Linked DNA regions of Schizosaccharomyces pombe. Changing the gene in region 2 together with the main gene of any one other region gives a genetic interaction. Each region holds a gene or a part of one and is shown on either strand. Other genes may lie near its edges.

Evidence for each region.
Region 1: of rho2 (region 2) and skb5, extra expression of one rescues a mutant of the other (dosage rescue), as found in Schizosaccharomyces pombe (one study listed by BioGRID).
Region 3: of rho2 (region 2) and rdi1, changing one suppresses a phenotype caused by changing the other (phenotypic suppression), as found in Schizosaccharomyces pombe (one study listed by BioGRID).

The regions. Positions count from the first base shown.
Region 1 is NC_003421.2:920,968-923,991, reverse strand, and holds skb5 (Shk1 kinase-binding protein 5), read right to left. Parts: upstream 1,359-3,024; 5' UTR 924-1,358; coding exon 501-923; downstream 1-500. Other genes in the region: EKC/KEOPS complex subunit Cgi121, read right to left, coding at 2,046-2,570; THO complex subunit Tho7, read left to right, coding at 2,771-2,777, 2,831-3,024.
Region 2 is NC_003424.3:4,418,927-4,427,838, reverse strand, and holds rho2 (Rho family GTPase Rho2), read right to left. Parts: upstream 5,149-8,912; 5' UTR 4,838-5,148; coding exon 4,812-4,837; intron 4,728-4,811; coding exon 4,649-4,727; intron 4,533-4,648; coding exon 4,527-4,532; intron 4,474-4,526; coding exon 4,435-4,473; intron 4,323-4,434; coding exon 4,282-4,322; intron 4,214-4,281; coding exon 4,195-4,213; exon of another isoform or gene 4,147-4,194; coding exon 4,054-4,146; exon of another isoform or gene 4,010-4,053; coding exon 3,875-4,009; exon of another isoform or gene 3,828-3,874; coding exon 3,663-3,827; 3' UTR 3,193-3,662; downstream 1-3,192. Other genes in the region: dihydroorotase Ura2, read left to right, coding at 1-124; srp2 (guard protein for 5'-capping of pre-mRNAs Srp2/Npl3), read left to right, coding at 874-916, 961-1,046, 1,103-1,139, 1,180-1,185, 1,238-1,262, 1,312-1,380, 1,571-1,640, 1,729-1,802 and 2 more; protein nst1, read left to right, coding at 5,628-8,885. UniProt on the Schizosaccharomyces pombe protein: Involved in cell morphogenesis, the maintenance of growth direction, control of polarity and of cell wall integrity. Regulates the synthesis of alpha-D-glucan through activation of pck2.
Region 3 is NC_003424.3:1,318,039-1,321,636, reverse strand, and holds rdi1 (Rho GDP dissociation inhibitor Rdi1), read right to left. Parts: upstream 1,913-3,598; 5' UTR 1,792-1,912; coding exon 1,174-1,791; 3' UTR 501-1,173; downstream 1-500. Other genes in the region: TOM complex subunit Tom20, read right to left, coding at 154-202; tnr3 (thiamine diphosphokinase Tnr3/ Nudix hydrolase fusion protein), read left to right, coding at 2,835-3,598.

The DNA.
Region 1 (3,024 bases), on a different chromosome or scaffold from region 2:
TTTATTCTAGCAACACATTGTAACCCTACGGGAATGGAACTTCCGTAAAACACGGTACATTCTAACCCTTCTTCTTTGGATAAGAAGATGTAAAGTTATTAGAAGGTTGCAATAATATAAAATAAAGTTTCAAAGAGTTTTATGTAGCTTAACTCATCTCATATGATTATATTTGACAATATTATAGTTTTTCTTGTAAGGTCCATAAGATAGAACATTCATTTCATCCTTATAACAAATCAAAAATAAGTCCCAAGTTACGACACATCCCAAGGTTAGTTATTTACCCAAAGGAGAATTGTATGATAGTTGCTTTAAAGGCGTACATTTAAATAATATTCATAAGAAGCGTGACAATCCGAATTTTTTTCCCGTAACACTTCGGATTCTTATATATAAAGGAGAGGATCCAGAAAATCTTGGAACATAAAATAAGGAATAACATTTTAAAATCAATTTGACAAAAAGAAAAAGTAAAAAGGGTTCAATTCAACGCTCTTTTATACCTCTAATTTAACAAACGTCTCAGGAACAAGCCCGCTTCTTCCTGAGGCATCATCGTATGCAATCAACCAACCATCGCTGGATTCCGACAAAATACAAAGTCTCTGACCAGTAGTAAAACCGAGTTCATTATCATGGAGGGGCTCGAAATCATAAAGCGCAACGGCGTCAGCAAGGACGTTGAAAGAAGCAGAAGGGTGAGTGCTTTCAGATTCTTCAGCATCGTAAAATACTTCCGTATCATCTATTGATTCGGAGTCATCCGATCCTTCGATTGTTTCATCAAAGGTATCATCTACAAATCGCTCCTCCTCCTCTTCAATCACACGAGCATGAAACCCATAGTGCAGTTCATGATCTGGGGGGTACAAGTAATCACGACCCACAACTAAATAATCCTCTTCAGTCTCTTCCGCCATGAAGCAAAAATTGCTAGTGTCACATATAACGATTTAAATTAATCAAAAGAAATCATACGGATCAACGACAGCGTTAAATTTACACTATACTTAGCAAGTCCATAAAAAAACAGGTGTATTGGCGAAAAGTCAACAGATGAACAAATGCTCTCTTCAACGTTGAGTTTTTGTCTTCAAATGACTTTTGAAAAGGAAAAAAAGAAAACAAAACAAATAAAAACAAAAATAAAAGAACCAAAAAGAATGATAAAAAAAATCAAAGCGGAAAATAAAAAAAACGCGGTATTGACGGATAATGACAATTCTGCCTAAGAAATTTAGTTTTTCTCTAATCGGCTGCCTGCATATGATTATATGAATGTAGTTTTAACAGATTTGTACTTGTTAAAATGAAATTTCCATAAGGAAGAGTTTTCGCGTGACTGGGAAACGGATGGCTTGATATCACAAATTCCGGCTTAGCAGTCAATACCGCAAGAAGGCAAGTTAAATCCGTAAATAAACAATTTTGACAAAGAGCTGCCAGTTAATTGTAAAACATACGATGTAAAAACCTTTATTGTTGTATAAAAATAGTTCTTACCTTTGCGACCTGCTTTTCTTTATAACAGGAGCATAAGGTGCGCAATAAAAAACCCATTAATTTATAATCCCATTAAACTTTTAATAACTATTCACATAATGGTAAACTTTTTGCACTGAGATCCACCATATAGTAATTCATCGCCAATAGACCTGAGCAAAAAATATTGCACAAGAACAAAACATGATGTCAAATAACACTAAAGCATTCCCTAGGTAAAAGTATCGAAACAGATAATCGTAATGAAATGCCCTTAGTTACTTTAGTAAAACTGTCAAGAGATCATAAAACTGAACCAAACCAGAGGGCATAACTTTACGTGCCATCCTTTACCAATTCGTAAATCAAAAATTGATTATGTAGGTGCTTGCTAAATAGTTTGTACAGTCATTTGAGAGAGGAAAAAATTATAAGGAATAGAAGAATCCACACAACGTTCCATTTGGAACTCTCATCATTATCATTCAAGCCGCATAGAAAAATAGTCAAATCAATTGTGAAACATTGACAAAAGATCAGATTTGCTAGAACATATGTTTTTAAGAATAACCACGTAGAGCTATCGAAGATAATATAGAGGCCAAAGGATTCTCAAGCGTAGAGGGATCCAATTTGTAATTCTTTTTTAACACCTTGAAGTCTATTAATTTTTGTAACTCTTCGTCAGAAAATTCGACCCTATTACCTTCCACAAGTTTGTCCAAGCGCTCAAATTCTTCTTCTTCTGTAAGTTTGCTATCAATTTTTACCACTACAATGTTTTTAGATTTTTTTGTCATGCTGAATTGTCGGAACGCACTAGAAATTTCGGTTTTTGGGGACAATGACAAAATAACCTCTGAGTGAATCGTCTTAGTTTTCATTTGTTCGTCCCTTCTATCTTCGAGAGCCCTAATAATAGCGCTATAAACCTGCTTTTTATATAGAATAGTAGCGGCATCGAGAAACGCATAGTCATAAATGGGATTCTGGCTTATTAGTTGTTCATGAATCGCAGCACAGTTAGAAACATTTTCATATACAAAAACATGAACTTGTGTCTCTGGAAAAAGAGGTAAAATCATTTTGCCCGCCTGTTCTATAGCAATATCAAACTGCAATCCTTGTTAGCGTTTTTACATTTCTTAGGTAATAATCGTACTAATAACTTTTTGCCGGTAAACATCGGTAAAATACGGTGACTAAAACTCCGAACACTCCAGCTACTGACTTAGCGCCCAACTAAATTGTATAGTGAATTTGCTTTTTTTTTACTCAATTCATTATGGAGGGTATGCTATAAATAATTTTTTTTTTGAAAATATTAAGTTAACCGATATGTCAGAGACGGCGATTCGATCGCGCTTAACTGTGGAAGAACGGCCTTTGAAACGGTTGATTAGTCGGTGTCTTGGTTTTGCTGCTCAAAATGTAGACGAAGCAAACTTAAGGGATTTAGAAATTGAATTTTCTGCTCTCTCTGCTTTTTGGCTTCGATTGCAAATGCAATTAGACATGAATGCTAAAGAAGTGGATGTT
Region 2 (8,912 bases):
AGACTTCAAAGAGTCTAATATCGTCTTAAAAAAGGAGTCGTTTCGCGTACCTGAAAGTGTTGCCAATGATTTGGTTCCTTTTCATCCAAACGAAGTTCTTCAATGGCACTGTTCATGGGAGTAATTCAGTACATGTTGATTATGTGTTTTTTTTTCTATCTATTTTTTTGAACTTGTCGGCTTTTATGTTTTGGATTTACGAATTTTTAAATAACATTTGAAGTTAATTGGGTTAATCATTATGCGTCGGCGAATGCAAACATTGCGTGTCATCTGGCAAGAGTCTTTTCAGAATTCCAAAATTTTCGTAAAGTTTTTCATCCAGATAGAGAACTGGTGAATGAGCAGAAACTTGTTTTCATTATCTCAAATTCGGATTATTCATTGAAGTTTACTAAAATACTTTATAGTTATTTATAATTAATATAGAAAAAGAAAATTATACGTATAAGAACCTACGTACATGACTGTAAAGACAACAGTTACTTCTTGAAGTTGCATCTTGACTACTAGATATCCTAGCTCCTTAATCATGATTAATTAAACTTACAGTATCCCGTCGATGAAATTATCATCGCCATCTTGATCCATTAATTAATTATTATCTAACCTTCTTAATCATTTCAATAGACACTCTGAAGTATGGTTGATAGTTACTCAGATTTCATTTATACAATATTAGGAAAAAGTGTGGACCGATGAATGCATAAAATCGTTAGACAAGGTTTGATTAACACCATCTCTTTTAATTTGATTTTATATTTTATTTCATTATCTTATATTTTGTAACTTGGGTTTCGCCGGCCTTCAGCCTCAAGACTGCCGACTGAGGGTCGAACTTCACCCAGCAAGAACCAACTACACCAAAAAAAAATGTCGGAGACTAGATTGTTTGTTGGCCGTATTCCTCCTCAAGGTTTGTAACTAAATAATGTAAATAGTATTTTAACAAAAATTTAGCGACTCGCGAGGATATGATGGATTTTTTTAAAGGTTACGGTCAAATCCTTGATTGCAAGCTGATGAATGGATTTGGCTTTGTTGAGGTAAATAAAACCATTAGCCTTCTTTTTGTAATCCCTATGTGACTAACTTGATGTAGGTTGAAGACGCTCGCGATGCTCGTGATATCGTAAATGGTACGTTCATACCATCTTAAAACTTTTGCTAACAGTTTAGACTTTCGTATGCTTCAAAGGTTTAATATTCGACTTTATTTACTAATCTTATAAAAAAGAGGGCAAAGAGTTTATGGGCAGCCGGTAAGTCAATACATTATGAATTTAGATTAAAATATGCTAATGTTCGAAGTATTGTTGTAGAACCTGCTCGCGGTGAAAGAAGAAGAAGAGAGAACTTTAGAGAAAGTGCTGCTTCTAAGTACGTTGTTACGTTTCCATTAATATGTGATTAGTGGGCGATTTGGCATTGCACGCGATTGCTGGTTCTAACGATTTTGTTCACTTCACATGTGAATCAGCTCTGAGTAGTGACTATATACGGTGTTATCGCTTGCAAAATCGCATTGTCCTATAAAAATTACGGCAATATTTTTATACTAACGTATCAGATACCCCCGTCCCCGTCGCACCGGTTTCCGTTTGATTGTGGAAAATCTCTCAGAAGATGTCAGTTGGCAGGTAAGACAATTTTATACATTTAATGACCTTTGCGTCAATGCATGATTTTTTTCATATATCTATATTTCAGTGTTAACACTTTTCATAGGACCTGAAGGATGTAATGCGTAAAGCTGGTGAACCCACTTTCACAGATGCTCACCGTGAAAACCCTGGTGCTGGGTAAGTTTCTACTTTGATCATTTTTTCACCTAACTTTAATGCAGTGTTGTTGAATTTTCTACTGAAGAGGATATGAGAAACGCTTTGACGAGCCTTAATGGTGAAGTCATTAAAGGCCAAGCAGTTACTTTACGCGAAGACCCTGTAAGCATCTAATCTTTTTTAAAGATCCTTGCGTAAATTTTCTAACGATTAGCAGGATGCCGCTAATGAGCCCCTTCCCGAAGTACCCTCCCGCTTCCGTTCACGTTCTCCACCTGCTCGCCGTCGTTATCGTGATGATTATCGTAGAGGAGGCGATTACCGTCGTGACGCTTATCGTCCCGGCAGAGATGATGAACGTCGTTATGCTCCTCGTGGTGAATACAGGCGTAATAATCGTGATGAATACCGTCGTGGTGGTCGCGATGAGTATAGACGTAATTCCAGAAGTGATTATCGTCGTCCTCATGATGATGAGTATCGTCGTCCTAGAGGTGATGAATATCGCCCTGGACGAGACGAATACCGTCGTTCTCGTGATGATGGACGCCCTTCCCATGATGATGAGTATCGACGTGACGCTTATAGCCGTAGTCCTTCTCCTAGACGTGATAGAGAAGAGAATCGCTCCCCTGCCTATGAAGGTTCCAAATCCTATTCAGCTGCTCCTGAAGCATCAATGGAGTCATCTGCTCCCACTGAATCATATGACAAACCTGCTGCTTCGGAAGAACAACAGCCTTTGCAAAACCATTCTGATGTAGGTAACGGTAGCGCTGAAGGACAGGTCGCTGCTGAATGGTAAACATAGAAATTTTTCCTTTGGTAAACTATTTTTTAGTGTCTGCTTACTAGATTTTCCTGTCATATGTCTGTGGTCTTAATATCCTTTGTCTGTGATGTATTTGAGTATGAATTTATCTCTCTTTATTGGCGATTTCCTTTCTTACGATCAAGAATGAAAGGAATGTGTAATTTTTAGTGTAGTTCCGGATTTTTGCCGCGTATTTGTCATTCTTTATCATTTGGATGGATTTTGGTTGTTTTTTTTTGGTTGTTGTTCTTAATGAAGTGAACGCCCGAAGAAAAGTTAGTTGTTGGAGTATGGGTGTTTAAAGGGTATATAATTTCACATAGTTGTTTGATGAGAGTGACCACTTTAACTCTTGCCAGTCTTGATTTCCAACCCATTAATGCCCAGAAAAAAATAGGCTCGAAACTTTAGTAGGTGATAAATTTTGATATGGTTGTATACCTTTGGCGGTGTCTTAATATTTAGCTTAAATGAGCCAGAATTTTGAATTTGACCGCCCCATAAAATTACTTAGCGAAGTGAGCCTACGTATTAAATGTATCAATAAGGAAAACTGACATTTTCTATTAGCCTAAGAGAACAAAAGCATATGTACATATATGAATTTTGTACTTCATAATGAGCGCAAGCGGCAGTTCTAAAAATAAAGTCCTATGATCTTTTAAACAAAAAGTAGTTTTCATGAGGACAATAGATGCTGAAAAAGAATGAAAGATGTTTAAGAGTAAAAAAAAAAGGTAATAATAACTGAATGCGGTTTGCTTAATGAAATGAAAAAGGAGGCTAGTGTCGTTCGACCGATGCGTGAAGATTATAATGATGAAAATAATAATAATACTCCTGAGTCTCAAAATAAAATAGGAACTAAATTTGAGGTATAGGGGAGAAAAAGAAAAAAGTAAACGACAGAAGTGAAAGTGAAAACGAAATGAAACAACGGCAAAGAACAAATGCGAAGAAAAGCAAAAAAGTCTATCAGCTTTTTGTAAATGTAGGTCGCATAAACTGATAGGCTTTCCTATAAACTGAAACATGAATGTTTGCAATCGTTAGGATATTAGTAATTATGAAATGATGCAGCATTTTGTAGAACTCTTGTCATTTTCCGAATCCCGAACTGTTAGTGCTGCCCTAGTAGCAGCTTCAAATACATCGTCCACGCCGTCACCAGTCAATGAAGAACATTCCATATACTTTCTCGCACCAATCCGCTGAGCTACTAATTCAGCCTGATATCAAGAATTAGTATTCACGTGTTTGAATTATTAATATATACCTGTTGTGATTTTACAAAATTTTGATTTCGACGTCGCATTTCTTCAATAGCAACGGGATCTGACCTTAAGTCGGCTTTCATGCCCACTAAAATAAACGGAACATTTGGGCAAAGTGTATTAATTTCCTCAATCCACTATATAATGTTAATGACTGGAAAAAACAATTAATGAAACGAACCTTCGTAGAAACATTTTCAAGTGAATCAGGAGAGTCTATCGCAAACCCAACCAAAATAATGTGTGCTTTAGCGTAAGACATTGGTCTTAATCTCTGCATTGGGTTAACGACGTATTTCTCACTATTAATAACGAAACAAACCTCATATTCCTCTTGACCTCTAAAACAAGAATTAGTATGCAGGAATACATAACATATAGTTTTAACATCAGAAAAAAAAGTACTTACGCGGTATCCCACAATGCCAGTTGAACTGATTTTCCATCAACCTATTTTAGTTAGTATCAAATGTATTAGCAAAACCCAAAGAAAAGGGACCAGTGGGAAAGTAACTTTCTGTAACCAACTGAAAAAGCTCAATAACTTGTTAATCACACATACTCGACAATCTGAAACATAGTTTTCAAACACAGTCGGAACCTATAGTAACTGTTATTAAAAAACTCTACGAAATAAAGAGAAAAAAGCATTACATATTCCTATCGCCAGTAAGTTAGTAAATAAATAAATAAATAAGGTAGAAAAGACAATAAGTATTTGCGTATCGTGCAATATGCGATAAGCCAAAGCTCACTTTTATGACATCTGTACTTACAGTAGGAAAATATCCCAAAGTGAAAACGGATAACAAAGACGTCTTCCCGCAGGCACCATCGCCTACAACTACTAGTTTCCTTAAAAATATTAATATTTAAAGAAAATGAATTTGAGTAGAAGAAATAAAAGAAGCAAAAAGATATTAGGCCATAGAATCGTACCTTCTAATCGGTTGAGATTGCAACATGTACTTTTTAATAGGGAGCGGATTAAACACTGTATGAGGTTTTTTCTATGCAAATTTTTCTTAAAGAATGATTCACTGCAGATCAGACAACCAAAATTTCCCGGTTCGAAAAGCTGTAAAAATTAAACCAAATAGGTGTGAATTTTTGAAATATAAGAAATGAGTAAGCGATTGTCGAAATAGTCAAATGAAGCGATTAGCCAAACGTCCAAGCCTTTCAATTAGAGCAACGAAAAGTAGTATATGCACAAAAATTAGCTTCTCAAAGAGTATTTGTTCAAGAAATGTGGTTTTGGTGACATTTATCCCATGCGGATTATAGACACTTTTGGTGTTAAGTATCGTAAATTCAATTTATTGGAATCGTACGCTTCCTTATTGCACCTTAACATGCCTTAAAGAACTAATTTTGCACGTTAAGATGCATTAAATATGATAAAACGCCATTTGCCGTTTGGCTTTATTCACCACATTCTGCAAAGCAGCAATTGAACTAGTTAAATCCAAAAATCTTTGTGATTTGGATCATCTGGGTTGAAATCCCTAAGAAGATATACTATTTCAAGTACTTTGGGGTATACTGTTTTTGAATATTGAACTAAGAAAAGGTGGGCAGTTCGGCATTTAAGAATTTTAGGGATTACCCTTAAAACATTGCCAACGCAGACCCGTGAGCTACAATTTGAATAAAAAAAATAATTTAAATTATTTTTTTTTTAAATCGTTAGTTTCATATTTTAAGCTCATAAAAAAAGAGGCGTTGTTGGTAGGCGATTTTTAAAAAGAAAACATGAATGATAAAGCTCTTCGCACCGAAGCACTCAGTGTAGGGTTAGAACCTCCAAGTTTCAAGGATCTTCTTATACCTATTCCCAACTCTGGTACAAAGAAAAAGAATAAAAAGAAGAAAAAACCGAAAGCCAAGAAAAATGTCGAGACTCAAGCAAACGTGGATTTGCTTGGGTCGGCAGGGACCGATTCTGCAGTTACAGACGTTGGCGCGAATAATGGTGTCATAGATCATCAAGCGTCTTTGGAACTTTCAAATTTGAATTCTCGTATTTCTCATCCGCAGCTGGTCTCGGCAAATGGTGATGATTCATCGTTGATTAACGTCGAAGGAATATCTTCGACGGATTGGCAATTCACTCTTGAATCTGACGATACCATAGAACATTCTCCCCAATGTATTCTTTCTACCTCCAGTTTCGTGGATGAAGCCGAGTTTCCAGTTCATATACCTGGTTTGGAAGACGCGACGTCGTCCAATATGTCACCGAACTCCGTTCAAAATAATATGAATTTGAATACAGTAGCGTTAGGTTCGTCAACTTCATCTAAACGGAAAAAGAAAAAGAAGAAGAAGTCAAAAGCAAATAGTGCATCGTTGAATGTGGATGATCAAAGAGATTTTGAACAAGTTTATTCTACGGACGTTGCTATTACTTATAGGAATGGGCAAGCGCTTTCTTATTACAACGGTTCTGTGCGTCAAGCCAGTATGAATAATAACGTTAACAATAATAAATCCAAAGATATTTGGAGCAGTTCGAATACTGAGGAGCGGGAGCAAATTCGGGAATTTTGGCTTTCCTTAAGTGAAAGTGAACGCAGGTCGTTAGTTAAAGTCGAAAAAGAAGCTGTTTTGCAAAAAATGAAAGAGCAACAAAAATACTCATGCTCTTGTTCGGTGTGTGGAAGGAAACGTTTAGCAATTGAGGAAGAGTTGGAAGTACTGTATGATGCTTACTATGAAGAATTAGAACAATATGCTAATATTCAACGTAACCTTGCAAATACCGAGTCTGTAAACGCTTCAGACGAAGGTTCAGACAAGTCCCAGAAAGGAATCATCTCCGATTCACCTAAGCTTTTATCGATTCCTCTGAACAACGTACCATCAAAATCTCTCAATGATGATATAACCCAAGACGAGTTGAATTCTTCAAATGCTGATGTTGATGAAGAAGTCATTGAAACTACTAGCTTGGAGGAAAAAAACGTGGATAATCAAGAATTCGTCACTTCTATAAGCAACGGAAATCAGACATTGGAAGACACTTCACATTCCCCTCAAACACAGCCTCCTTTTCAGCCTCCTTATCCCTCTAAAGCAGATGAGAAAAATAGCTATCATTCTGATCTTTATAACTTCGGGAGTAGTTTAACGGTGAAAGGAGGTATCTTAACGGTAGCGGATGACCTATTGAAGAATGATGGGAAGAAGTTTATAGAAATGATGGAACAGTTAGCTGAGCGTCGTATGCAGCGTGAAGATAATAGCAATTTTCACGAACCAGAGTTATACGAAAGCGGGTTGGAATATGACGAAGATGAAGAAGAAGACGAAGAAGATGTAGATGAGGACGAGTTAGATCTAATGACCGATGAACAAAGGATGGAAGAAGGACGCAGGATGTTCCAAATTTTTGCTGCCCGTTTATTTGAGCAACGTGTGTTGCAAGCTTATCGTGAGAAAGTTGCTCAACAACGGCAAGCTAAACTTTTAGAAGAGATTGAGGAGGAGAACAAACGCAAACAGGAACGTGAGCTCAAAAAAATAAGAGAGAAGGAGAAAAAGAGGGATAAAAAGAAGCAATTGAAATTGGCGAAGGAGGAAGAGCGTCAAAGACGCGAAGCTGAGCGTCTTGCTGAACAGGCTGCTCAAAAAGCATTGGAAGCTAAAAGACAGGAAGAAGCTCGCAAGAAACGGGAAGAGCAACGTTTGAAGCGTGAGCAGGAGAAAAAGCAGCAAGAACTTGAGCGTCAGAAAAGAGAGGAAAAGCAAAAGCAGAAGGAAAGAGAGAAGAAACTGAAGAAGCAGCAACAAGAGGCTGACCGTGAAAAAATGGCGAGAGAACAACGACTAAGAGAAGAAGAAGAAAAACGTATTTTGGAAGAAAGGAAGCGAAGGGAAAAATTAGACAAAGAAGAAGAGGAACGTCGGCGTCGTGAGTTACTTGAAAAAGAATCAGAAGAGAAAGAAAGGAGATTAAGAGAAGCTAAGATCGCTGCTTTCTTTGCACCTAATCAGACTAAAGAGGGTTCTGATGGTTGTACTACTTCTTCTCAACTTGGCCTTTTTGAAAAAAAAGGCGATCTCGTAAACGATGAGGATAAGCTTTCTTCACATCTCCTAGATTCTGTACCTAATGCTTTGCGGCAAGCTCCCATAGGCCTTAAGAACACAAATAATTTATCGGAGCGCAATGCTTCTTCTAATCTGCTTAATTCTTCGTTATTTTCATCTTTTAATTCCGTCAACCCTTTAATTTCTCTTGAGCCTAATCCTTTAAATAGAACACTTAATAATTCCGTAAACTTAACTGATTTTGGTAGAAAGCCAAATGGTTTACATTCTCCATCTTCACTCCTAAGTAATTCCAACAATTTTGGATTAAATCCAAATGCTCGGCATTCTCTTAGTAGAGCCAATTCACCGGTGCATCATTATCCTTTTGCAACACCTCCTTCTCAACGTGCTAATAAATATCCATTGAATAATGGAGCAAACGTACCAGCTTTGCTTAATTCATTTTCAAGTCCACAATTAAGTCCTCTAGTAAATAGAGTTTTGAACGAGCCGTCTAGTTCCCCTTTATCGTCCTCAAGTTTGAAATCCCCGTTATCCAAGGAAGGCGTCTTAAATCAACAAGGACATGAGCAGTATAACTTCTCACTGTCACCATCTATCCGAAATAAGCTATCTCCTATTTGTCGTCCTAGTCAAGGGAGTTCTCCTAAGCTGAAGAATAATTTGTCCAACACAGAGGAAAGGATGGGTAGTCGTGCACTATTAGATGACAAAACAGATTCTGTTATCACAGCTTCTAATTCAACCACTTCTGGTCTGTCACGAGATGAATCTAGTAATCCTAATAATTATGAGTTGTTAAACGCGTTTAATCAAAACACCTGGAAAATATCTCGGTCGACTTCCAATAAAAGTCTTATTCCCGAAAGTCCATGGGGCGTTGCGCTGGGCGCATTTACTCCTAATGCATCTACCCAATCTATTCCTTGGGGAAATCGTACTTGGACAGATTAAAAAGTACCTTCAAAGAAGGCAATTTAT
Region 3 (3,598 bases), 3.1 Mb from region 2:
CTTATTGAACAAGATCAATGTTTAACCCTATCAATAAAATCTCGACTGAAATACAGTACTTCTATTTTCAAGATCAAAAAGAGAAAACAAACGCCCGCTTATCTCAAAAATCTAATCATCATAACAATGCTTTTTCAAAATTTAGAAACTTACCAACAGCGGCAGTAGCAAGCAAGGATCCAATAATAACTGATCGCCTCATATTTATCAAAAAATAAAAGATGATTTTTAACGACAGCTGGCTGTTAAAACAACGAGATTTCCAGACTACTTAGTGGAAATCTATAATACGTTAGGAATAGGAACGGATTACACCAAACCAAGTAGGTGAAAGATGAGAGTCTAGCAAATGATGTGCAAAGAATTAGTGAAAGAAAAAGTGTGATACCAAGAAACCAAGTTAACGATGTCTCTATTCTACTGCAGTAAAACTATATTAAGACAGTAGCTTTGCGCTCAATAACTTTTTATGGGTTTAGGATTCATTAATCAATCTTTTAATCAGTGTGAAGTATTAAAATAAAAAGTTAAGTTTCAAGCACTATGTAGGATTTTCTCAAAGTCGAGCGAGATACGTTGAAATGAGTTTAAGAATGAGTTATTACCGTTACAATAGTATTCTAGTAATTCCCATCAAAGGGACTAATCAGGCTAGTTAATAGCTATTTGTATTGTTTTCTATGTACTTCTTTGGTGACAACAAGGAAAAGTGGAAAAGTATAAGATACTTGGAAAAATTTAATCAAAATCTCAAAACTCATAATTTCAGTGAAAAGAATATAGTCGGATGTATATATCCTTCCAAAATATCGCATTTGTAAGCTTTGGAACGAGATTTAAAAGAAACAACGTAGATTGCTAAAGGGGAATATGTGAAGATCATATGTAAGCTATAAAAGTAATTTGCACAACAAAAGGCAATCTCCAAACAATCCGAGATATTTGGGTGAAGTAAAGTTTCACTGAAGAAGGTGGTAAGAAATCGTCATTACCATATTCAATTGTAGTCCAGACACCGATATGTGAAAGAAATTGGTAAGAAAAAGGAAAATGTTTGCTTTGTAACAAAACATCACTATAAATTTCTTTATAGTACTGAATACCGAGAATTTTGAATAACCAAGTAGATTTGAAATTTACGATTTTAAAAAATAAGGCTGGCATAAATAATGACTACTTCCAGCTTTTTGCAACGTCAAAAGCCCAAACAAATTCATGATGGACCACTTTATCATCATCAACAAACTTTCCATTGGCTTCATAATGTCCGCGAGCCAGCATACCTGTAGGTGCCTCATCTGGTTCAGAGGTAAAATCATAAGGTGTTTCAGAAGGTCCATAGGAGCCAATCATGGTAGATGTTTTGTCAACAACAAAGCCACGTCTGCGAACAGTTTGGACATATCTTAAGCCTGAAATTACTTCGTGTTGTACACGAAATTTAACACCAATCTTAAACTCGCTTCCTTCCTTAATAGTGAACCCTTTCTTGCGGATTTGTTCGACACTTGCTGCATCTTCCATGTTAACATCAACTGGGTCACGGCCGTCAACAAGTAAACTCAGCTTTAAAATAACAACTGTTCTACGATCATTCGAGGGTGAATAACCTGTTCCCGTGATACCCAGAGATGCTTTCCATTTCTGCAATGATTCATCTTCGGCATCCATCTTCATATATTCATTAAGTGATTTCTTTTCTCCCAGAGAAACCGGAGGTCCATGCTCAAATGTATCATCCTCTAGTTCAGGGTTATGTTGATCAGCGGATACTTCATTGTTAACACTCATTTTAAAACAACGCAATAGAATTTAATTATCTGCCAGTAGCTAAACCAAGGACAATTTGTTTTTATAAAAAAAGTTCAGATTCGTTGTTTTGTTAATGTACTGTTCTAGAGTTGAAATTGGCAAAGGGAACATAGCATATTGCTATCTCAACAATATAACCAGATGTACTACTATGTTAACATTTCGGTGACTTGGATTATTTTAAATATAACGGAGATGCAGAAAAGCGTGAGAAAAGTATAAGATTTTTTTTTTCTTTCTATTCCCTTCGATTTTTTTTTTAGTGTCATTATCCATGCTTTTATACATGTAAATATGTTGGAGTAATCCCAAGCATTGACGTCTTATGAGACGTAAAAAAGAAGGAACTTTCTATGCTAGCTTTTCTGTAGGCAGATGTTCTTTACATGAAATTGTTTGAGCAGCAAGTTATAGCTGTAGTCGATAACTATTATACAACCAGATTTGATACGTTTAGCGGAAAAATTATCAATCACTTCAGGAATTATTATTAAAAAACTTACGAAGGAAGTCCACTGAAAATAAAAATCATGTGAAAGATACGCTTAACTATACCAAACCCTAATTAATTACAAAAACGGCGGTTGGTGTTAAAGTGAAAATTAGTAAGCCAATCTGTGTGCTATTATTTTTAATACCAAGACATTCCTGGCACGGAGTTCTGCTCCCATTGTAATTTTCCTCGTAGACCACACTCTTGAAAGACAATTACTAGATTACCTTGATTAAGGTACTGTTTGTTTAATATCAACTTCTTTTTTGTTTTTAAAGATCATTTTGAAAGGGGTTTAATAGATTAGCATTTCGTTATACGATAAGGTTTTAGTCAACTACCCGATTTCTACTACCAGGAACCAGTTTCCTTGAGCTTTTACCATTTGCTAGTATAGGGTGTTTTATATATTATTCTATTTATGTTGAATTGAACCATAAGTGTCTCCTTCGCATAAATACACTAGCCTTTTTTATTCCTGTTTTATTTTAGAACACTATCCATTTGAGAGGAAAATTTGGGCAAGGTAATGGCAATGTCGTCTATCACCTCTGCTAAACAATTAAATGCCGAAGAGCTTTTAGATGAATGCGATTCTTTTAATGGGGAATTTGTTCCTGGAACAATTCCCTTCCGTGCAAATGGCGCTGCCATTGGATATGTTACCCCTTTGGTACTAGAAATCCTCATAAAGGCGGATAATTTCAAATTCAATTGGGTTTATGTTCCAGGAGAGTATATTGAAATAAACGCATCTACTTTTGAAAAAAGAACTGACATCTTAGCTAAGGTACTGGAGCATTGGCGCCATAACAATACATTTGGAATTGCTGATCAATGGAGGAATGAATTATATACTGTTTATGGAAAATCTAAAAAGCCTGTATTGGCCGTTGAACGGGGCGGATTTTGGTTATTCGGTTTTTTGAGCACTGGTGTGCATTGTACCATGTATATTCCAGCAACTAAAGAACATCCTCTTCGTATTTGGGTACCACGAAGATCACCGACTAAACAAACGTGGCCCAATTATTTAGATAATAGCGTTGCCGGCGGAATTGCTCATGGTGATTCAGTCATAGGCACTATGATAAAGGAATTTTCTGAAGAAGCTAATTTGGACGTTTCTTCTATGAATCTTATTCCTTGTGGCACTGTCTCCTACATCAAAATGGAGAAAAGGCATTGGATTCAGCCCGAGTTACAATATGTATTCGATTTACCTGTTGATGATCTTGTTATCCCAAGAATTAATGATGGAGAAGTCGCTGGTTTCAGTTTATTACCATTGAA